Linked DNA regions of Saccharomyces cerevisiae S288C. The gene in region 3 interacts genetically with the main gene of each other region. Each region holds a gene or a part of one and is shown on either strand. Other genes may lie near its edges. The genes, in order: PUT1, STL1, YER137C and GFA1.

Region 1 (6,227 bases), on a different chromosome or scaffold from region 3:
CCGCCCTTATTCTTGTTGATTTTTTCTTTGCCTGTATTTTTTACATCAACAACAACTGATAACTGTACGTGACAATCTTCTGGCAAGCACTTCGAACCTACGCATGCTCTTGATGGTGGCAAAGGTCCGTATTTTGACAAATCTAAAAATTCATTGTATATTTTGTTGATTTTTCCGAAATTAGACATATCTCTAATTAATAATGACGCAGATAAAATATGATTCCGTGGAATCTGGTTGGAATGCAGAATGTCGGCTAGCTCAGTAAAAATATCTTCACTTTGCTTCTCGACCGTCTCACTTTTACGTGATTGTAGGTTAGAGATGTACAACTTATCATTGGTTTTATTGATTGTCGTTTGTGGTAGAGCATTCGACATGTGATTTTCAAATCTTTGTTCTCCTGTTTTAGCTTGTTGCTTTGGCAAATTTTGGGTTAAATCTTGCCAATTATTACCAAAAATCGAAGGTACAGGTAATTGATCTAATTGGTTGAGTAAAAAACTTTTGCTCAAATTACGCGGTTGAAATTTTACCTTTAACCTTGCATTGTGAACTTCACCATCGCTACATTTGACAATATCAATTAATTCCAAGTATCCATGTTGGAAAAAAGGGGCATCCAAGACCATTGTCTCAAACTCCCCACCCTCTCCACAGATATGAACTTGATAAAGTTGGTTAAGTTTCTGTAACACCGGTTGCATCATAGGCAAGGACATTCCTAAATGTTTCTCGTTCAATCCAATTGCTGCCACCTTGATTATCCTGGCGTCAAATTTATTTCCTGAATTAGTATCGTTTTCAACATTGTTAACATCCTTGGACATAAGGCACATTTCACCCATTAGTTCGGCTTGATCCCTTTGCCATAAATAGCTTAGCACTACTAGACCCAATCTGGAACAAACATTTTCCACTCTGGTCCTCTGGTAAGACGATAAGATGGCACCTACACTAACAGCTTCTAAATCTGGAATTTTATCTTTGACAGTTCTTAGAAGTTCAAATAGTTCTTCAATTTCATCATCCTGAGTAGCAGTATAATTCAACTCGACGTTGTTAGAAGTGTTCCGTAATATTGAGCGTCTAAATAGTGGAACACCAATACATTTAGAATAATAGTCTATTAAGTCATGTCCTACTGTTTGGAACATGAAAGAGTCTAATTCTTGCTCTTCTGATTCTTTTGGGTATATATTTCCCAGGGCAATCAATTCATGGTTGTTCTTCAGGCAGTGAAAAATATTGTAGAACGAGTCCTTCCCACCTGATATTAATGCTATAAACTTCATGATACTGACTTATTGGGCTTTGAATTTTGATATAGCTTTATCAAAGATTTCCGTTTGAACTAGCTATTCATCATCCATCAGATATAAGTGAAAAAAAGCTTCTTTAATAGAAGCTTAAAAAAATTCTCCGCGACGGGGAATTGAACCCCGATCTGGCACGCGACAAGCGCCCATTCTGACCATTAAACTATCACGGATAAGAAACACTGGAAAACTATGTATCCCAAAATCCCATACGTTGGTTTACTAACACTACTAGATGTATTATTCATAGGTACCCCAAAATCCTTACAAAGAGACAAGGCTGAGTGTATCAAGCAAAACCGCTTTAAATCTGATGTTCTGCGCTTTCTCCCTTTGATTAGATTCAGGTCTTATGTAGTTTATAGAAGATGAGTACCTTTCTTGTGCATAAGAGTTGATAATAAGCCTGACGACGACAAGCCACTTTCCTACCGATTTAGGATTGGCAAAACATCTGGTACTATTCGAACCCATAATCAATAGGAAGAAAGCTTTACCAACAGATTGTTATTTAAGTGGTTCAAGTATATTAACTCTTGATATCCGTGCGTTTACTTTACTATTAGTGTTATTATCATTACTTATATATAATATGTATAACTAGAACATCAGAATTATGTATGCATACTTTTTTTTTTTTTTGGTTTTTTGGTTTGTCTTTGAAATTGGAGTATATATTATAGTCCTCTCATAGGCCTACTCTTTTTGGAATCGACTTTGCTATGGCCTTGATTAATGGCCAGCCATTATCAGATCTCACAGCATCCCCGTTTTCTTGCAATCTTCTCAAAAGATAATCTTTAGTTTCCAATGGTGGGCCCCATGGGACATACTTGATTATGTTTTTAGCGCCATGGTTGGTAATTAGGTCATAGGTAACATTATCTGCCATACCTAGTAATTGCCCCAACACAATGTTCGATTTGGCATAAGAGTTGTCTTGGGTAGATTTTAGCAAATTAGTAACGAGCATTTGGGATTGGTAATTATGAGAGGCGACAACCAAGTGACCAAAATAAGAATCCTCGCCATTGATGATTAAATCATTGACAACTTGAGTGATGATACGATCGTAATTTTCGTCAGTGCCCGTTTTATCGCCAAAGATAATTTGGTTACGGTTTTTTTCAGAATGAATATAAGCACCACGAACCAGTTTCAGCCCAAGCTTATAGCCGTTTTCTTGGGCCAGCTTCAATTCGTGCAAAATATGGTCACCAGAGTCCCTTAGGTACAACTGCCAAGTACCGACACATGATATCAGTTTAGATGAAGTGGGATTGAATTTTTGAAATAAGATTCTCTGTAATTCGTAAACACCATTCTCCTGCAAATCATACTTCTCAGCGTCAATAGTGGAAACCATAAATGGGGCCTTTCTTTCAGGGTACTTCTTTAACAAAGATTGATTTAGTTCAAAAATCTCTTTTGTAATCTTAGAGCAGTTCTCGATCAGCTGATCCCTTTGAGCCTTGTAGGCGGGATTACTGAAATTGTACAGAACCTCGTGAGGGTTATCGACCAAAGCAGAGGGTTTTAGAGCGATATAACCTGGAGCAATGTCATTGATTGGCTTAGATTCCAGCTGGCCAATAATATTGGGCAGTAGGATGTTGTGGACAGAGCTGATTGTTTCCTTGACAATTTGGTCTACTGGAGTACTGGACAAACTCTTTGTACCTTCGGAATTTTCAATAGTTAATGAAAGCATCATGTTCGATATACCTCTCTTCTGCAGACGTTTGCCGCATTCGATGACCTCTTTAAAGTTCTCACCGCCACAGTATAAAGAAGAGACGAAGAATTTTATTACTGGGATGGGGATGTAAGGGAACAACTTAATGATCGTGTTCAGGAAGAAGCTGTTCAAGGTCGCAATACCGATGAATCCCAGTTGGAATAGTTCCTTCTTGGGAAGTGTCTGTAGAAAATTGATTGAGTTAGGAGGTGCCATCACACTATTGCCGTTGGCATTGGCGGCCGGAGTTTCAACCATCAGATTAGCAGCCGTGTTAGAGTGTGTCGGAGTCTTTGACACATAGGACCTCTTTATCAAAGGAAAGCATAGAGAGGGTATGCGCGATTTAGTAACTAATAAGGAGCTTTTGGAAGCTATCATTTCTAGCGTGCGTTAGTGTTATTACTATGTAGCGATGTTTATGATATATAAAAGACAAAAGAGAAGAGCTGCTACGGACTTGTGGAGTTTGTGTTCGGTTCCCAGCAAGCTTTATATAAGAAGGCAGAAGGGTGAGAAAATGGGCTTAGTTCATGCGATTTCTCCTGATAATAGACGATACTAAGTACAATAATGAGATGATAAGGGAAATAGCGCCACTCATCAATTGTTTATCATTCATTTTTCTTGTGTAGATATGCTTTTCGGGATGCGAAACCCGAGGCGTGGTAACCGGAAAGCCATTGCCGAAAGGAAATTCCAATCAAAAAAGCGGTGGAGCTAACGGAGGGAATAAGCGAAAGAATAATGAAAACAAAAATTATGTCCCTGCGCGATTTTTCGCATTGTGTCTCATTTGGATAACCATTTTAGCAACTGATTTTCATGTAATGCTGATCGGAACAAGTCCGCTTCGTCGATTTCATCCCTTTCTGCCTCGCTTTCACCTTCACTTGCAGTGTTATCTTGTTCTTGATTTTCTTGATTTTCTTGATTTTCTTGATTTTCGTCTTGATGGACTGGGGGCGCATCCCGTCTGGACAACTGGCTTTGTAGAAACAGATGTGCCATCTCCTTGGTGCGGAACAGTTTGCCCTCTCGCGGATAGTCTAGTTCCCATTTGCGCAGTGTCAAAACAATGCGCCTTGGAAGCACGTGTAGGTCACGTGATCGGGCTTCTGTGCATAGTGCACGCTCAACTTGCCGGCGAGTTACCACCGTCGGTAGCGACTTGTGTCCTCGAGATTCGGCCGCCCTGGCGCTGACGCTGCGGGAAGCCATACCCGCAAGGGCCGTGCACCACAGCAATGTACGTGTGTAGCGACTTACGCAGCGCTCCAAAGTCTGCGTCGCGCTGCGCGATAGCGGCAGCGCGTGGCGGGGCAAGGGTCTTATCTCCGCGATACGGCTGTGCGAGTAGATGGCCACCCACCTGCGTTTCCAGCTTTCATAATCGATAAGGCCCTCGCAGTGTCCTTCCTCATCGGCAACCTCGGCTGCGCCTTCCGTGATGGCCATCACTGTCTCGCTCAGTTTTGTCTCCAGGGCAACCCACTCAGCGCTCATTTCGTACGCAATGGGCGCTCCGTCGTCACCCGCCTTACGCGATCTCGCGCTCGCACTCGCTCTCCTTAACAACCTGTAATAACCTAGAATCTCCATGGCGCTCTTCCGAGGCAACAATGAGCGCCACTCGTCTACACGGTGGATACTATAGCGTGAAAGGCACCAGAAAAAGGTATTCTTCTCCTCGCTGTCCCAGTCTACACCAACGCTAGAGATTTCTACACCAGCATTGGCGGTACCCGCCTTTTCATGGATGCTCTTTACATGTACTTTGGAAGGATGGAACTCAGCTGGGCGGCCTGACGCGGCACCATTGTAGAATTCCTCGACCTCCTTATTGTACAATTCGACGTACTTCCGCAATTGTTGGTGCTCCATCCTAGGTGACCGTCGTATGCGCTGTGCTTTCCTAGCTCTTCTTCCACTTCTGTTTCTCTATACTTTTTTTTTTGTTTTTCACCTCGCCCGCCTTTTCTTATTTCAGTGAACTGAAAAAAAAAAAAAAAGTTATGTATCTTTAATGTAATAAAACTAGTACATAATATATACGGAGCTTGAAGGCACTGGAGAAAATATAGAGTAAGCATATGTGGAAATTCAACAAAAAGCTCGCCCGTCTTACTTACCGTCTTTATTCAAGCTCAGGCCCAAGCTCGCCCCTTCATGGGAAGAAGAAACTGCCGCAAAATCTGAAATTCGTCGTCTTGAACCCTACCCAATCTGGGCTAGTGAAAAATGATCAGAAGCAGCCTAGACACAGGCCGTCTAAGAAACGTAGCCATAAGGAAACTGGAGATAACAACCTCGATTTCGGCTCGAAACTCCTTGTCTTCGAAAAGCAGAATTCACTAGATTCCGCATTGAACTCCATCCGATTGAAGAAACCGACAAGCGCCAGTCTGCCCTCCCTGGAATACAATGCCCTTCTCCAATCGCTTACATCAAGCTACAATCGCTACCAACTGCGCGAGTTCATCTCCACACATCAGCCAGACTCCTCTTCACATCTGACGCACTGGAAGAAAAGCAAGCTGTCCCAATATATAATTGAAAAAATCTGGAATTGCCAACCAATTTCAACACCCACCACTCCCACAGGCATCAAGTCCACATCATTGACTTTCCAGTTCGATTCTCCTAGAGAAATTTTCCTTTTACTCATCACTCAAAATGGTAAAATACTCACCAACTTCAATAAGCTCGGGCTGACATTCATCATCTCCATTCAGGATAACGAATTGACCGTCAAGGGTTCGCCTAGCTTGCTCAAATACGCAGAAATATCCTTAAACAAAATATGGTCAAACATCACTCATGAAAATGTGCGTATGTATTCCCTCATGCCATCAAAAGACGTCATCAACCTTATTCAGAAGGAAACTCACACTTTTTTTGAATACCTCCCGGACTTGCAAATGTACAAGATTTCAGCCCTAAGCACCAAGAAAATATCCATGGCCAAAGTCTTTTTATTAAATGCCGTCGCTTCTAATCCTAACACAACTCAACACCACCACACAATAGCCTCACCAGCACTCAAGACAGAACTCTATCCGTTCAACAATACTCTAGAGAACTTGGACTGGCTAAACAAGTCACAAGATTGGGCAAGATTACAGTCAGTTGTCCCTAAAAATTGCACAGATCTGATGACTCCCACTGAA
Region 2 (5,449 bases), on a different chromosome or scaffold from region 3:
AACTCTATTAGTAGTTGAGTAACGTAATAAAATGCTCAGAAAAAGTGTTACTTGCTTTTTATTCCTTCCCAACGAGGAAAAGTGTCAGCGTGGATGCCAAAGCAGTCTAGGATCCTGCCAACACTTTGTTCTAATAGGTCATGAAGGCTCTTGGGTCTTGTATAAAACGCAGGTACCGGAGGAAAAATTATAACACCTGCCCTGCATAAAGACAACATGTTTTCAAGATGGATGGAAGATAAAGGGGTTTCCCGAGTAACCAGTAGTAACTTACGATTCTCTTTAATCGAAACATCGGCAGCTCTTGTAATTAAATCCTCTGTAAAACCGATTCTAATAGCAGCTAGTGATTTCATGGAACAGGGCACAACAATCATACCATCATGCTGGAAAGATCCGGACGAAATGCATGCAGAAACATCACGAACAGAGTATGTCTTGGTTGCCAAGGCCGCCACGTCATGCGGTTCCCAATCTGTTTCATATTTCATTGTTGCTGCACCCCATTTTGAAATCACCAAATGGGTTTCTACGCTCAACTCTTTTAGCACTTGTAGAAGTCTGATTCCCAGTGCAACACCAGTCGCACCAGTAATTGCGACAACAATTCTCTTTGGTCTTGGAGGCGAAGTTGATGCCCTGGTTACTTCCTTTGACAGTTTATGTGTAAGGAAAGATGGTGAAGTTGTAATGGTTCTACCTAGCAAAGGAAAATTAGCAAAAATGCCTGTTGTTTTGAAAAAGGCTATATTAGTTCTTCTTGGAAATAGGAGCATATCTACTCAATTGAAGCTGCTCAATGCGTTGGACTCCGTAGATTGAAATCAATCTATATTTGCAGCATTATGTTAAATGAAATTCTATCCATCACCAATCTTAAAAATGGGTCGAGTATACTTTTTCTGAGAAGTTTAACGGTAAACAGGAAAGGCGCGTCATTTTTTCTGTGCCAACTTTCCTTTTGGAGCATCTCATCATTATTTGAAAACGATACGAAGTGCTACTAATGAAACCATTTTTATGTAAAAAGGCTTTCAGACAGGAATGCAAAGTCTGTAAAATACATCCAATTTCTTGTCTGCAATTTATGTCATAACATGTTAAGCGTTTTGGCTGTCTTCACAGATATACTCTTTTCTTGTGCAATCGTTGTCAAGTTGGTTATAAGTAACAGCACTAGGTGATGTATGGTGTCCCTTGCCCTGTTTTTGATATGCCTATGAAGCGCTGCTGCGTTTTCGAGGTATGGCTTCTGCCGGGCTAACGTTCAAATTAAAGGAACTAGATTCTGCTGTTATCAAACCGACAAGAAGAATGAAGTGCATAACGTATGAAAAATAGGTCCTGTAAAGCTCTGGTAAAATCTTACTGCTCTAAGCGATGCATGATATTCATGGCTAATTTGAAATCTTGCTCTAAAACCCTTTTTGCAAGAAGAATATCATGGCAAGACCGCAAAAAGAGAATAGCACCATTTGCAGTGTTCGAAAGTTGGTGGCTTTTTGTATGTTGCAGTTAAATGATGGTAGAACAGGTTTTTGCGGTGTCCCATGAGAGAAAAGGAAGGAAGACATTCATAGAACATCCATGGCGGCACCCTGCTAAAATATCTTCACCTTAGTATTCAGATTTTCCTACTTCCGTCATCATTCGCTCCAATGTAATAACACGTCCACGTTATCAATAAAGATGTTTTAAAAATTTTTGTGGGACTATTATTGTACTTAAATAAATATTAAGACTACGGAGTCGGGCTATTTTATAAGCTTTTTATAGGCATTGCCGGCAAGCGGAAGAAAATGAAAGTGGACATATTTCCTCAAAAGACAGATCGTCTGGTGTTAAAATACTAAAGTTATGTAGTAATATATGAATATTATTGGTGCGGCAAGGAACAAATATAAACCCCGCAAAATGCTTTCTTAAGTAAATTACAAAATATGATTTGTGAGTTGTGTGTGAATCAACCCTCAAAATTTGCTTTATCGTTCACTGTATCTTCATTTTTGATGTTTGAAGAACTAGACGAATTATCGCCGTTAATTTGGTTATAGGTGTCTTCTACTCTATCTTCACCAAAGTCCTCTTTTTCCATTTCGTCGTCATAAGAGCCCAATGCATTGGCATGATCTTCGACTTCTTGTAGGGATAACTTGGGCAAATGGTTAGCAACTCTCCATGGTTGAGTGCCATCCTCGTATGCTTTAGCAAAGATGATGTCGATTTCCTCCAAACTTCTTCCGGCGGTTTCAGGGTAGAAAAAGAAGATAACTGGAATGTATAAATAATTCATAACAGCAAAAAATAAGTAGCAACCCCAACCGGACTGTCCAATAAATATTGGGGTGAACATGACAACCGCAAAGTTACACAACCAATTAGTACATGTGGAGAAAGCGTTTGTTGATGCACGAACTTTCATTGATGCAATTTCTGGTGGGTATATCCATGGTAATGATAGCAAAGACAAACCAAAGAATGTAATGAACAAAAATAAGCCGACGGCAGCACCTCTTGCGTTTTCTTTATTTTCTTTGACCAAGCATGCAAATGTAATTGTGAATGAAACTGCTTGACCTGTGGCACCTAATAAAAACAGCTTACGTCTACCTAGCTTTTCAATTAGAAAAAATGAACCAATAGTAGATAAGGCGTAGATTGTTGCGAAGACCCCACCTATGATCATTGATAATCTATAGTCTAATTTAATTGTTTTGTTGAATAATACAGTAGAGTAGTATATGGCAGCGTTACAACCAGTAAATTGCTGGAAAAATTGCGTTGAAGCTGCAATCAAAGCCCTCTGAAGATTTTGGGACCTGCCTCTGGAGAACAAACTTGACAGTGAATGTTTCTCGTGTTTGGTCCTGTTAACAGCATCGTGAAGCATAGCAACTTCTGTTATAACTTCCTCATCATTTGGATCCGCGTCGTCTAGTGTTCCTACCAAGTAGCGAGCTTCTTCTGTTCGACTTTGAGAAATCAGCCAACGTGGCGATTCAGGTAGTTTAATCATGAAAGCAAGCAGGAAGAGAGCAAAAACGATTTGCATTGACACGGGGAATCTCCACTGAACAGAACTGTTGGTATAAGACAACCCAAAATCAATCCAATAAGCAATCATAGTACCAAAAGCAATTGTGGAACCTTCTAAATTGACCAGCAACCCTCTATTTTCAGCTTTTGACATTTCTGATTGCCAAACGGGAATAGTAGATGTATTCAACCCTGTTCCAACACCGGTGACGACTCTTCCGATGATAAACTGGCCTAATGCCCAGTAACCACGAAATGCGCATGTAGAAATAACGGCACCAATGATGGTTATTACGGAACCCATCAGGATTAATGGTTTTCTACCAATTCTTTCACCGCAGAACATAACGAATAGAGAACCTGCGAAACAACCTAATTCATAACAGGAGGTTGTAGCGCCCTGCACTACAGTTGCGTGTCTGTCATGATCGCCATTTTCTTTGGTTGCTGGAAATTCATAGTTGAACTGTTTACCAGTAATTAGACTTGCCATCAACCCTTGGTCGTATCCAAACAGGGAGAAGCCCGTCATAGATGCGATAGTGATGAAATACCGCAACTTCTTACCCGTAAGTCCCCAGTGACTGGTTCTGCTTATAAATTTGCCTTTGAAATTCGATAATTTTAAATCCTTCATGGTCTAAAACTTTCTATGTTCTATTTTTCTATTTTTTATTTATTCTAACTTGTATGCTAGAACACGTATACAAAATAATTATTCAAAATCAATAAAGGGCTTGTTTATATACTATGAGTGTGACTACTCCTGAACTGCAATTCTGACCCTCTAAGGCCAAGCAGCGTTGAAGGGGACAAAATTGAAGCTAAAACATCTCACTTAAGCTTTCTCAATTTCTCTATCTACTTCCTTTTTGTTACGAATGCCCCAATGAAAGCCCTATCAAAGGTGAACCAAAAGTGTTTCCCTTACCGGGATCTGCACTTTCTCAGATTACTACTATCGCGAAGCAGCCAAGCGCAATAGCTGCACCTGGCGAGGATTAACCAACCAAAAACGGTATATAGCCGAGAAACAGTGTACAACCATTATTTCTTTCTGACGTAGTGGATGGCTGGACACTTTCCGCTTATTTTAGTTTCATGCAACGAACAGAGCCGCTCGAACAGGCGACGTAGCGCCGAATACCCCGCGAAACGGAGATGCTACTCAAATGCAGGTAGCGGAGGCATCGCCGTGGGGTATGCGGTGGCCGAAAAAGGACAAAGTCGGACCCTTCATATCAGTTAAAATGACGCAAGTTGAGTCAAAGTGAGCCAAATGGGCCAAATGCGGTGGAATAGTGGGACAACGGCACTTATTTCGTCCGTACGTCCGTTATGGATGTGTATACTATTTCATGATTGGCTTACCTCAAAGAAAATGAAACGGATGGTGCCTCCTAGCCTTGGCAATGAGTATCAGTAGTGGTGTTCTGCAGCCCTTTAATTCTATCTTGGCCGCATTCCAGACATATCCCTTATAGTTATGACGTATATGATTGTGGGGCATTGTTTGCCAAGGAAAATGGAGTAAGTTGAATGAAGAATATGGATTAGTGGTTCTAGGTCGCTCGTAATATCAGACTGAAAGACATTATCTTTGCAAAGGTTGTAAAAGGAGTATTTCAGAATCATTGCTGATTCACACGCGAGACCACATTAGTAAATTTTCTACTCTCGGGCTGAATTCCTCGGCGAAGCTTTGCCTTGCCATTTTAGGTGAGAATACGTATTTGCGGTATCATATTGTTTTTCTTCTCTTCCTTAACTCATTTAGAAAGTTCGATAGTGAACAAAGCGCTACACAAATATTTGATCATGGCAAAGTTACCGCGCCAATCGCCCTGCGCATTGTAGTCGCCTGCTCCTTCAGTTCGTCCGCTGGTTGCGGAATATTTGAATGTCAGTTTTCAACATTGAAACATCAGATAATGTTGGTATCGTGTTTAAATGATGGACGCATCTACGTCACCTTAAGTGCGTTTTTGCCTGTGAGATTTTTATTTCATTGTGTCCACTTGCTATTGTCTGGTTGATATTCCGATGTTTGTCGAGTTTTTTTATTTGCTCTCTGCTTTCATTTTTCTGCACTTCTGGCACATGGTCTAGCCTTTCTTAGTCCAGAAGCAACTGTCACCATTGAATAACGTTGCACTTCAACCTGTCCGTTTATCCAACTGTTTATATCGGTAGAAATAAGGGTATAAGAATAAATTGGCTGGTCAATTGATCGATGAAATTATCGAGCTTTTTTTTTTACTGCATGATCCCTGTCTTCTGAGGCTGTGTAACTTTTTTACTGCCTAAGAACTCTCGGACCCTTCTTTGGTGTTGCCTCAGAAATAGTATGGTGTATTAGCACCATAATAAAAATTTTTACAAAAGCCACTATTATCCTCACTCACCGATGAAT
Region 3 (5,244 bases):
TTTAAACAAAATCCGATCAGTAAAGAGGAACGGGAGTCCAAGTTTGGTAAAGATAGAGATTGGAATGTCGACTTAATTCCTAAATTCCTGATGGCCAATGGTGAGCTGACAAATATTTTAATACATACCGATGTGACCAGATATGTCGATTTCAAGCAAGTTTCTGGCTCCTACGTTTTTAAGCAAGGCAAAATTTACAAAGTGCCAGCTAATGAAATAGAAGCCATTTCATCGCCATTGATGGGTATTTTTGAAAAACGTAGAATGAAGAAATTTTTAGAATGGATTAGCTCTTACAAAGAAGATGACTTGTCCACTCATCAAGGATTAGACTTAGACAAGAATACCATGGATGAAGTGTATTATAAATTTGGGTTAGGCAATTCTACCAAAGAATTCATCGGTCATGCAATGGCTTTATGGACCAATGATGACTACTTACAACAACCTGCTAGGCCATCGTTTGAGAGGATTTTGTTATATTGCCAAAGTGTTGCCCGTTACGGTAAATCACCTTATTTGTATCCTATGTATGGGTTAGGCGAACTTCCACAAGGATTTGCTCGTTTGTCGGCTATTTACGGTGGTACTTACATGCTAGACACTCCAATTGATGAAGTATTGTATAAAAAAGACACAGGAAAATTTGAAGGGGTCAAGACTAAGCTGGGAACTTTCAAGGCCCCATTGGTTATTGCTGATCCAACTTATTTTCCCGAAAAATGTAAATCTACTGGTCAAAGAGTTATTAGAGCCATCTGTATTCTTAACCATCCAGTTCCGAACACCAGTAACGCGGATTCTTTACAAATTATTATCCCACAAAGCCAACTGGGAAGGAAAAGCGATATATACGTTGCGATTGTTTCAGATGCGCATAACGTTTGCTCCAAGGGTCACTATTTAGCAATTATTTCTACAATCATTGAAACTGATAAACCACATATAGAATTAGAGCCTGCTTTCAAACTTCTGGGACCAATCGAAGAAAAATTCATGGGAATTGCCGAATTATTTGAACCAAGAGAAGACGGCTCTAAGGATAACATTTACTTATCCAGATCATACGACGCATCCTCTCATTTCGAATCCATGACTGACGATGTTAAAGATATTTACTTCAGAGTAACAGGCCACCCATTAGTTCTAAAACAAAGACAAGAACAAGAAAAGCAGTAAATTCATACCTTTACGACTAAAGCAGCAATTGGAGGGTAAACTTATTTTTTCCGATAATGTTCTTGGCAAATGAGTTACCAATAAATGACATGAATTACAGAAAACAAGAAAATATTTGCCAAAAAAAAACCAATACAAAAATATAGGGGAAAAGATTATCCTTTATTCCTTTCTCATTCCACTTTTTTTTTTTGTTATATGCGTATTCTGATTGATTCATAACTAAGTATCTTTCCTTTTCTTTTCTTTCAATTTCTTTTTTCCATATATAAATACATAAATTTACATACCTTATGTAGTATAATATATGGAAGAATGCTACTGAACACATCAGTACACATGCTATGTACTTACAATCTTAGTAAGGTAGATGTAGGTCTAATGCTTCGATGATCCCTTCATTATTTCTTGGGTATAACTGTCAGTCTCGCACCGCAGTGTGCCCTTGTGTGGCCAGCCTCGTGACAAAATGAACATTTTATCTTATTTTTTTTCTTTTTACTACTCTTTTTGCTGGTTACTCCCTGAATAGTGCTCGTAGTTTTATCTGCCTCTTCCTTGGCTTTAATCGGTATCAGGGCATATTTTTGATCGTCTTTTTCCATGATCTCTATTCCATTCCGCAGTACCATGTCAAGAACACTAGTATTCATCATACTTCCCACAGTGCTTTCATGCAATCCCAGTAGTAGGTTAATGAATTTCTCTAATTCTTTCAACTTATGCTCGTACTCAACTTGTAATTGTGATCCATCTTTTTGCTTTGAAATGATCAACTTAGCCAGGACATCCATAGCTTGTGACAATCTGACTATATCATTTTCAGTCTTATTTGATGATTCACACATTCCTTGTTATAACAACCCTCGGTATTCTTTTAACAAACTTACGATGACTATATTGTATTAGTGTCAACCTCATCGCCAGGAACTTTTCATTGAAAATCTTCTGACAAATTTTCTGTGTAAAGGAAAGAAAATGGAGTATAAAATCGAAAGTTTATTCCAATTGTGCTAGGCTGTAATGGCTTTCTGGTGGGATGGGATACGTTGAGAATTCTGGCCGAGGAACAAATCCTTCCTCGCGGCTAGACACGGATTGCACGCCCTTTGGGCAAGGGATAGTTCTCTATTCCGCACCGTGCCCTGTTGTGGCAACCGTCTTTCCTCCGTCGTAAATTTGTCCTGGGCAGAGCTGTCTGCCCGGAGGCGGGAGAGTCCGTTCTGAAGTGTCCCGGCTATAATAAATCGATCTTTGCGGGCAGCCCGTTGGCAGGAGGCGTGAGGAATCCGTCTCTCTGTCTGGTGCGGCAAGGTAGTTCTGGGTCCTTAGGGGCTCCACCTTCACCGCTGTTAGGGGAGTTTTATCCAGCGTCAGCAAAGGTGACCCGTGATGGAGGCGGCCGGGATAGCACATATCAGTCGGATAATTGTGCAAGTTGATCGCTTCGGCGGTTTAATTTGGCGGTGCCATCAGGATTTACTCGCACATTGTGGCCGTTCCCTCGGGGATGGAGTGTGTCCTGAACCATATTTTTTAACATTTTTTTGAACTAATTAACCGTCCCAATGAGGGATGTTGGAAGAGTAAGTTGATTTAATGTCCTATTCTTGTTCTTTTCGAATATAAATGACGATTGGAAGGTGCATGTCAATGTTTATCATCATGTTCTTGTTGTAGGTAGTCCTTACCTTGGTTGTAGAGTGAGTAGCGACAGGCGGCAGCGGAATATAAGAAGGATAAAATGAGAATACTTAGAACGTGTTGAAAGAAGAATAAACGATCATCCATCGACTAGTACTGCTGCTACTAGTGTGCTGTCATACTACTAATATATTATCATATACAATATAAGAAGATGTCATAAACATTGAAAATAGTCATCAAATCTAATGGAAGCTGAAATTCAAGGGTTGATAATGTAATAAAATAAAGAATGACAAAGTATAAAAGGAAGAAGATAGAGTAACATTATTATGTAGAGCTATCAATTCGCTTTTTGTAGATTCCTATTTTTTCTCGAGGAGAATTGCAGCATATTCGTTCCACGTAATATTGCGGCCTTTAACAACAATGTAATTCCAACAATTATCTTAAAATTTGTCTATATTTTTAAAAAAGTATGAACAATTACCAACATGTGGTACATATTGGAGGCCCGCAAAGCTGAGTTGGCATTCATTCATTCTTTAAGTTGAACAAAAAGACAAAAAGATTTTCAAAAAAAATATGGTCTCTAGCGGGATCGAACCGCTGATCCCCGCGTTATTAGCACGGTGCCTTAACCAACTGGGCCAAGAGACCAAATTTTAATGAAATACTTTTACTGGAAAGAAGGTAACAAACCATGGAAGATGCTTTTCTACCACCCATGAAAGTCTGAGATTTTTATTAATGATGTTGGAATAAAAATCAACTATCATCTTGAGAAATGGGTGAATAATTAGATAATTGTTGGGATTCCATTGTTGATAAAGGCTATAATATTAGGTATACAGAATATACTAGAAGTTCTCCTCGAGGATATAGGAATCCTCAAAATGGAATCTATATTTCTACATACTAATATTACGATTATTCCTCATTCCGTTTTATATGTTTATATTCATTGATCCTATTACATTATCAATCCTTGCGTTTCAGCTTCCACTAATTTAGATGACTATTTCTCATCATTTGCGTCATCTTCTAACACCGTATATGATAATATACTAGTAATGTAAATACTAGTTAGTAGATGATAGTTGATTTCTATTCCAACATACCACCCATAATGTAATAGATCTAATGAATCCATTTGTTAGTTAATAGTTTAAATGTTTTTATCGGAAGAGGTTTTGTCATCACATCAGCAATGTTCTTCTTGGTCTCGATGTAGTATACGTATAAATTATTACCTGATACTTCATCTCTAAGTCTCATTGCCTTTGTGCCAAAAAATCTGTTTCTAAATTTCTCTTCATTTGTAGACTTAATTATACTGATCGTTGATCTACTATCAGTAAGTAAGCCTTTAATAATTGGTTTCTTGTTAAGTTCTTGTATCAGGTAACTTAGATTATTTAATAATGGGACAGATTCACTTATCGCGTGTATTTCTGCTTCCGTAGTTGAAGTACATGTTAATGAAGCCTTGGTGGACTTTCCTCCAATTACCTTTCCATTAAGTAAATATATGTTGCCAATTTGTGATTTATAATACGGTTGGTTGCCATACGAAGCATCACTTATTGCGACTAGTTTATTATCTGGCTCGGTAGGTTTGTTTTTGTGCCATATCAGTTGTTTATCTCTAGTGTCCCACATGAATTGTATCAACTCATATGTCATGTCTAAAACTTGCCTAGAGGGGAATAGTATATGTTGAGCAAGTGTGTTGATGTAGTATAGTAAGTCAAATCTAAATTTATATCCAACATATGAAGCTAGACCAATCAACTTTTGCATTTCATGTACCTTCTCTTTGTATTCATCTTCATCTATTTCTAGTTCATCCTGGTCTATATAAAGACCTGGTTGACCTGGAGCGCTAAGTTTTCTTCCTTTTGGATTCAAAGGTACGTTTAATTTGGGTATTTTCTCAGTTAATGAGTTTTCCATACCTAATTTCATGTATTTACCTCTTTGATATTTGATTTCTAAGCCAAGTATGTCGTACTGAATTTCGTTATCACTTTCACCCAGATTTATTATCTTTGTATCGTATTGTTTCTTGAGTGTTGTTATGATTTTCTTATTTGCATTTAAGTCTTTGCTGAATAAAATCATGTCGTCAACAAATAAACATATTGTTACTTGACTATTCTTAAATACGCATGACCATCCACGAACTTCTTCCATACCACACTGTTTTATCAGGTATGATTTGATAGTTTCGTACCAGTTCGCTCCACTTTGTTTCAATCCATAAAGTGATTTCTTCAAACGTATCAACTTATCATTCATTCCTAAATGTGGTGGAGGTCTTATGTATAATTCTTCTTTGATGTCTGCATACAAATATGCCGAAGATATGTCTAATTGTGTAATATAGTAGTTATTGTCTAATGCAAGTGACAGGGATGT
Region 4 (7,022 bases), on a different chromosome or scaffold from region 3:
GATTCTACACCCCTACCTGTTTGTCGAATTCCTTCCTTGGCTCCCCATTTCGGTAAACCTGCTGAAGGCCCATTTGATAAAGAGGACCAAACTATCCCGGTCATCGGCTTCCCCACTCCGGATGAGGAAGGTAATGAACCTCCCACGGATGATGAAAAGAAATCGCCCTTATTTGGCAAACACTGCATCCACCTGTTAAGGTACGTTGCCAAATTAGCCGGTGTGGAAGTGTCCGAATTGATTCAAATGGATTTAGACTTATTCGATGTGCAAAAGGGTACCATTGGAGGTATTGGTAAACACTTCCTTTTTGCACCACGTCTAGATGACAGGTTGTGTAGTTTCGCAGCAATGATTGCTTTGATTTGCTACGCTAAGGATGTTAATACCGAGGAATCAGATTTATTCTCTACTGTCACTTTGTATGATAATGAAGAAATCGGATCGTTGACAAGACAAGGCGCAAAAGGTGGCTTGTTGGAGTCAGTGGTGGAACGCAGTTCTTCTGCATTCACTAAGAAACCGGTCGATTTGCATACGGTTTGGGCTAATTCCATCATCTTGTCCGCAGACGTCAACCACCTCTACAACCCAAACTTTCCTGAAGTCTATTTGAAGAATCATTTTCCAGTGCCTAATGTCGGAATCACTTTATCACTGGATCCTAACGGTCATATGGCCACAGATGTCGTAGGAACTGCCCTAGTAGAAGAATTAGCACGCCGCAATGGAGACAAAGTGCAATATTTCCAAATCAAAAACAACTCAAGATCAGGTGGTACTATCGGCCCATCATTGGCTTCTCAAACAGGTGCTCGTACCATAGACCTGGGAATTGCACAGTTGTCCATGCACAGCATCAGAGCTGCTACAGGGTCCAAGGATGTCGGATTAGGTGTTAAGTTCTTCAACGGATTTTTCAAGCACTGGAGATCAGTCTACGATGAATTCGGCGAGTTGTGATTTTGCCACACTCTTTTTATTTCTTTTGATTTCTGTTTCTTTATCCTTTTTCTAAAAATACTTTTATTTCGAATCAGGAAGAAAAGAAAAATGTATAAAAAAAAAAAAATAAAACACCACAATCGTCAAGATATAAATATCTATTTATAAATAAAACATCAAAAATACCTAAACCCCAAACATTCTACTAGGAAAGAATATTAACAGTAACCACGAACTATAAAAAATGCATTTGAACACCAATGTGGGCCTTGACAGCCGTATTAGATGAAACAAACCACATACTTTTCTTGATTAGCCAAGCATTCTTTCTTTTGTGACGCCGTCGATCACTCAAATATCAATCCGGGTAACGCGCGGCTCCCTACATTTTCTTCGATTTTTATCTTTTTTTCACAAATCGAAAACATTAGACTTCCTCTTTGGGAAATCGGATGCATTTTAGCGTTTCTGAGGCGACTTTTCCTCTTCTTAAAATATTTATTTAGTGTCTTACATTCGACCCTTTTCGCCTTTCTGCTTTATTTTTGGAACACGTACTTCTTTTCGCTTACAAGAAAGCATTCTCAGTCATCCATCACACTTATTTTCACTGCAAAGTTACAGAACCGGTGTCCTTTCCAACATCATAGTTATATAGTTGAGAAAAAGTGGACAAAAAGCCAGCATAAACAAGGAATAACTGTATTTCTTTTCTTATATAGTTATCAGGGCCAAATAAGCAATAAGTTCTCGAGCAAATCAACAGCAACTTTTATAAAAAAATGTGTGGTATCTTTGGTTACTGCAATTATCTAGTGGAAAGATCCAGAGGAGAAATTATCGACACCTTAGTGGATGGTTTACAAAGATTAGAATATAGAGGCTATGATTCCACCGGTATTGCTATCGATGGTGACGAAGCTGATTCTACTTTCATCTATAAGCAAATCGGTAAAGTGAGTGCTTTGAAAGAGGAGATTACTAAGCAAAATCCGAACAGAGACGTTACTTTTGTCTCTCATTGTGGTATTGCGCATACTAGATGGGCTACTCACGGTCGACCAGAACAAGTTAACTGTCACCCTCAAAGATCTGACCCAGAAGACCAATTTGTGGTCGTTCATAATGGTATCATCACAAATTTTAGAGAACTGAAGACTCTTTTAATTAACAAAGGTTATAAATTCGAAAGTGATACCGATACCGAGTGTATTGCTAAACTATATTTGCATTTATACAATACAAATTTACAAAATGGGCATGACTTAGATTTCCACGAATTAACCAAGCTAGTTCTTTTAGAACTAGAAGGTTCATACGGGTTATTATGTAAATCTTGTCACTATCCTAATGAGGTTATCGCCACTAGAAAAGGGTCCCCTTTACTGATTGGTGTCAAATCTGAAAAAAAACTAAAAGTCGACTTCGTGGATGTGGAATTTCCCGAAGAAAACGCTGGTCAACCGGAAATTCCATTGAAATCTAACAACAAATCATTTGGCTTGGGCCCAAAGAAAGCTCGTGAATTTGAAGCTGGTTCCCAAAATGCCAATTTACTACCAATTGCCGCCAATGAATTTAACTTGAGACATTCTCAATCCAGGGCTTTCCTATCAGAAGATGGATCTCCAACACCGGTGGAATTTTTTGTTTCTTCGGATGCGGCATCTGTTGTTAAACATACCAAGAAGGTGCTATTTTTAGAAGATGACGATTTGGCTCATATTTACGATGGTGAGTTACATATTCATAGATCTAGAAGAGAAGTAGGCGCATCAATGACAAGGTCCATTCAAACTTTAGAGATGGAGTTAGCTCAGATCATGAAGGGCCCTTACGACCATTTTATGCAAAAGGAAATCTATGAGCAACCAGAATCTACTTTCAATACTATGAGAGGTAGAATCGACTATGAAAATAATAAAGTGATATTGGGTGGTTTAAAGGCATGGTTACCAGTTGTCAGAAGAGCACGGAGACTGATCATGATCGCATGCGGTACTTCTTATCATTCATGTTTGGCTACTCGTGCTATCTTCGAAGAATTATCAGATATCCCAGTTAGTGTGGAATTAGCGTCTGACTTTCTGGACAGAAAATGCCCTGTCTTCAGAGACGATGTATGCGTGTTTGTTTCACAAAGTGGTGAAACTGCGGATACCATGCTGGCTCTAAATTATTGTTTAGAAAGAGGAGCCTTAACTGTCGGAATTGTTAACAGTGTTGGTTCTTCTATCTCTCGTGTCACCCACTGTGGTGTTCATATTAACGCTGGTCCTGAAATTGGTGTTGCCTCTACAAAAGCTTATACTTCCCAGTATATTGCCTTAGTGATGTTTGCTCTATCGCTGTCAGATGACCGTGTATCGAAAATAGACAGAAGAATTGAAATCATTCAAGGCTTGAAGTTAATCCCGGGCCAAATTAAGCAGGTATTAAAGCTGGAACCAAGAATAAAAAAGCTCTGTGCGACTGAATTAAAGGATCAAAAATCTCTATTGTTATTGGGTAGAGGTTACCAATTTGCTGCTGCTCTGGAAGGTGCTTTGAAGATCAAAGAAATTTCTTATATGCATTCTGAAGGTGTTTTGGCAGGTGAGTTGAAGCACGGTGTCTTGGCCTTGGTGGACGAAAACTTGCCAATCATTGCTTTTGGTACCAGAGACTCTCTATTCCCTAAAGTAGTTTCCTCTATTGAGCAAGTTACTGCAAGAAAGGGCCATCCAATTATTATTTGTAACGAAAATGATGAAGTGTGGGCGCAAAAATCTAAATCAATCGACCTGCAAACCTTAGAAGTTCCACAAACTGTTGATTGTTTACAAGGTCTAATTAATATTATTCCATTACAACTAATGTCATATTGGTTGGCTGTTAATAAAGGGATTGATGTTGATTTTCCAAGAAACTTGGCTAAATCTGTTACCGTCGAATAAATTAACCCTTTTACTTTCTCTTCGTCCCCCAGCCTCCCATCCGTCTTTCTACTATCACTTCTCCTTCGCTTTTAATTTTTGAACTTCCATTATTCTGCAATGCGCACTACAAGCTGGCGTTAAAGATGATTCCACTTGTATTCTCTATATAAATAAAAAATTATATTTTATATGAATAACCAAAAAGATAGTTGCAGCCCTAAATTAGACCTGCTAAATAAATGTGTTCTAACTTTGTTACAATTTTTAAACCATATAACTTCCTTCTTGTAAGTCCTCTAAAATAATATTAAACCCTATCCTGAGTTGGGCCCTGCGTTTTACCCGCAGGAATAGGCCCGATGATTGATTATCCACATCAACTTTTGGTGAAATTCGAGAGAAAATAAATGGGAAGTGAACGAGCAATAGGCAATCAACAAAAAAAAAAAAGGGTTAGGAAATTCGCTATTGTAAAGAGGCAATTTTTAAAATTTAGAGTGAAAATCGCCATTCCATCTTCTTCATATTCTTCGTTCAAATTACACAATTATTGCGGGAGGAAATAGCATTTATTAACCCTAATAATCAACATAAGGCAGATAGCTCTGAAAGAGGCAAGTATCAACAAATAGTGGGAGCATTGGAAATAGCGGGATGATCCAAGAAAGTAGTCCAGATGCCTTAGCAGCAGCAGCAGCAATTGGAAATGCGCTCAGTTATAATGGGAGGACCGTTGACAAGAGTAAAATACCGCAATACAATCAGAGTTTTACCTCTCGAACTACGTCAATCGCAGGGATTAATAGGTATACAATGCTCTCGAATTCTAGGACTAACTCAAGGATGCTCTTAATGAATGGTAACGTTCGCCAATACTCTAAGCGCACGTCGAGTTTGCCAAACCAAGGACATAAGAATACCTCTAATAATTCGGCGGGGAGAAGGCAACACAGGGCTCACGAGGATGCAGAAACCACGTTTCGAGAATTTGGAGGCAAGCAGTCATCGAAGGTTTTAAACATTTCAAGTTCGACTGGTCAGAATAGTAAATCAAGGACCACATCACTTGGGAACTCAGGCAGCACAATAAGGACGATAAAAAAATACATACCAGGCCCTAGGGGGTTAATGGCTGTGGAAGTACCCGTGGAAGTAGAGCCTCCTAGATACAGTCTGAGCAACCGCTCAAACCAACGAGGTGGTAGAGCATATTCTTTGCCTACTCGAAACAACAAAACTAGTCTAATGCATAGGAATAAAACTACTAAGAAAGCAGGATCACAAGAGAAAAAAAGTGAAAGCGGCGGTAAATCAAAAAACGATTATCATGGCAAAGTATTATCTAAAATGCATACTACATCATTAAAGCAACGGCATAACAATGTTCCATTAATACCAACAACTATGAACGAGGAAACGGAACAAGAACTGCAAGAGGATCTTCATGATCCTTTAGAATTTAAACCCATGATTATATCCGATGACGAAAACTCTTTTATTGAACCCAGCGTTCTCGATCGTAGCATACCCAAAAAAGATAAAAGTGGTCTCAGTGGACGTGAGAAAAAGGAAGAAATTGAAACATTGCTTAAAGAGGTTCATAGCTTGGAGGAAAAAATATCAAATATCGAAATAGCAAAATTGAACGAAGAAGAAAGGGAACAAAGCTTAATTTTGGAATTGCGAAAAGTTAAGCTAGATGAAGAACGGAGAATGGAGTTATTGAAAAGAGAGCTAAATATAGTTAAGGAGAATGCCGACCTTGAAGCCCAAGAATTAAAACTAATTGAAAGCAAAAGAAAACAACACTTTCACAAAGGACAGGAAGTAGCATCCGAGGTCAAATCGATCACGATTCGTCAACCTACTTTATCAGAACCTAAGCCTGCCTATGTACCTCCGGAAGACGTGGAGAAAGAGCCATCAACTCTCTCCAATCAAACTCAGAATATTGAAAATGCAGAGAATATCGATTCTGTTGATGCCGAAGGAAATTTAGTAGATCCTATTCTTCTCGGCTCTTTAAACAATTCTAACTTCCACATGAATTCAGATAACGAAGTGAGGTGCATTGCAGATTCAAACAGTCTCACTGGCAGCGAATTATCCGATTATAATTATATAGAAGGCTCGGCAACTGATCTTCGCGCTACTGCAAAGACAAGTGTGGAGTCTGAAATAGGCGGAAATCAGGTTGGACTAAAAATTCCGCAAGATGATGATAGTGAAAAACAGGAAGAACGTACAAAGGGAAAAAAGTCAGGCCTCGTCGATACAAATTGCTTTTTAGTCCAAAAAGAAGATCAAGAAGAGGCGCTTTCCGATAATGAACCGGAAAGTTCTGAAAAATTCCCTAGCACTTCTGGGATCGAGAACGTTAAACTGGAGGATGAGACTGGTAGTGTTATGGACAAAAATAATGGACCCAACAATGACAAGGACGATGATGATGACAAAGACAATGATAATGACGATGATGATGACAAGGACGATGATGTTAACGATGATGACAAGGATGAAAATGTTGACGATGATGAAAATGTTGACGATGATGATGACGATGATGATGACGATGATGATGAATATCATGATTCTTATGACGTGATAATGAGAGATCCGGTTCAAATAGAACAAGATATATCTGACGTGCCTTCATTAAAACACCCTTCAGAATATTCTACCGAGACAGAAGATAATAAAAAGAAGGAACAAAATTCTGAAAATGCAGAAGTTAGTCAGTCCGGAACAAACATGGCCAAGTATTTACGTGGTGCTAATCCTTACCTCACTAACACAAGTTCAGACACTTTCAGCCTAGATTCCGAAAACGTGAACTCCAAGTCCTCCACGGATACCACAAGAGTTGCACCTGACCTTTTGAAAAGCTCACTACAACCACAACTTAGATCTGATTTGAAACAATCAGCCGTTCCATCAAGTACTTCCTCGTCCATTTATTCGATAGAAACGTCTCCAAATATTGATTCCTCTACAGGGAAAACTGCTTCCAATACGAAAACGAACAGCCATGGCCCTCCGACGAGTATTTCAAAACAGAAATACGATCAATCTAGTTCTCATCAAATACCCGTGATGTCTCCCAAGCGTCTCGACGATAAAAGAAAAATCACCAATCGTTCGTGCCTAAGAACTCTACGT

What was found.
Region 1: mutations in YER137C (region 3) and PUT1 together harm fitness less than expected from each alone (positive genetic interaction), as found in Saccharomyces cerevisiae (one large-scale study listed by BioGRID).
Region 2: mutations in YER137C (region 3) and STL1 together harm fitness more than expected from each alone (negative genetic interaction), as found in Saccharomyces cerevisiae (one large-scale study listed by BioGRID).
Region 4: mutations in YER137C (region 3) and GFA1 together harm fitness more than expected from each alone (negative genetic interaction), as found in Saccharomyces cerevisiae (one large-scale study listed by BioGRID).

What each region holds. Positions count from the first base shown.
Region 1 is NC_001144.5:422,397-428,623, reverse strand, and holds PUT1 (proline dehydrogenase), read right to left. Parts: upstream 3,439-6,227; coding exon 2,008-3,438; downstream 1-2,007. Other genes in the region: DPH6 (diphthine--ammonia ligase), read right to left, coding at 1-1,295; RRN5 (Rrn5p), read right to left, coding at 3,850-4,941; SLS1 (Sls1p), read left to right, coding at 5,151-6,227.
Region 2 is NC_001136.10:1,506,229-1,511,677, reverse strand, and holds STL1 (glucose-inactivated glycerol proton symporter STL1), read right to left. Parts: upstream 3,674-5,449; coding exon 1,964-3,673; downstream 1-1,963. Other genes in the region: phenylacrylic acid decarboxylase PAD1, read right to left, coding at 48-776.
Region 3 is NC_001137.3:439,793-445,036, forward strand, and holds YER137C (uncharacterized protein), read right to left. Parts: upstream 2,028-5,244; coding exon 1,581-2,027; downstream 1-1,580. Other genes in the region: GDI1 (Gdi1p), read left to right, coding at 1-1,179.
Region 4 is NC_001143.9:240,079-247,100, reverse strand, and holds GFA1 (glutamine--fructose-6-phosphate transaminase (isomerizing) GFA1), read left to right. Parts: upstream 1-1,727; coding exon 1,728-3,881; downstream 3,882-7,022. Other genes in the region: metalloaminopeptidase APE1, read left to right, coding at 1-963; YKL104W-A (uncharacterized protein), read right to left, coding at 1,815-2,069; SEG2 (Seg2p), read left to right, coding at 4,518-7,022. UniProt on the Saccharomyces cerevisiae protein: Involved in amino sugar synthesis (formation of chitin, supplies the amino sugars of asparagine-linked oligosaccharides of glycoproteins).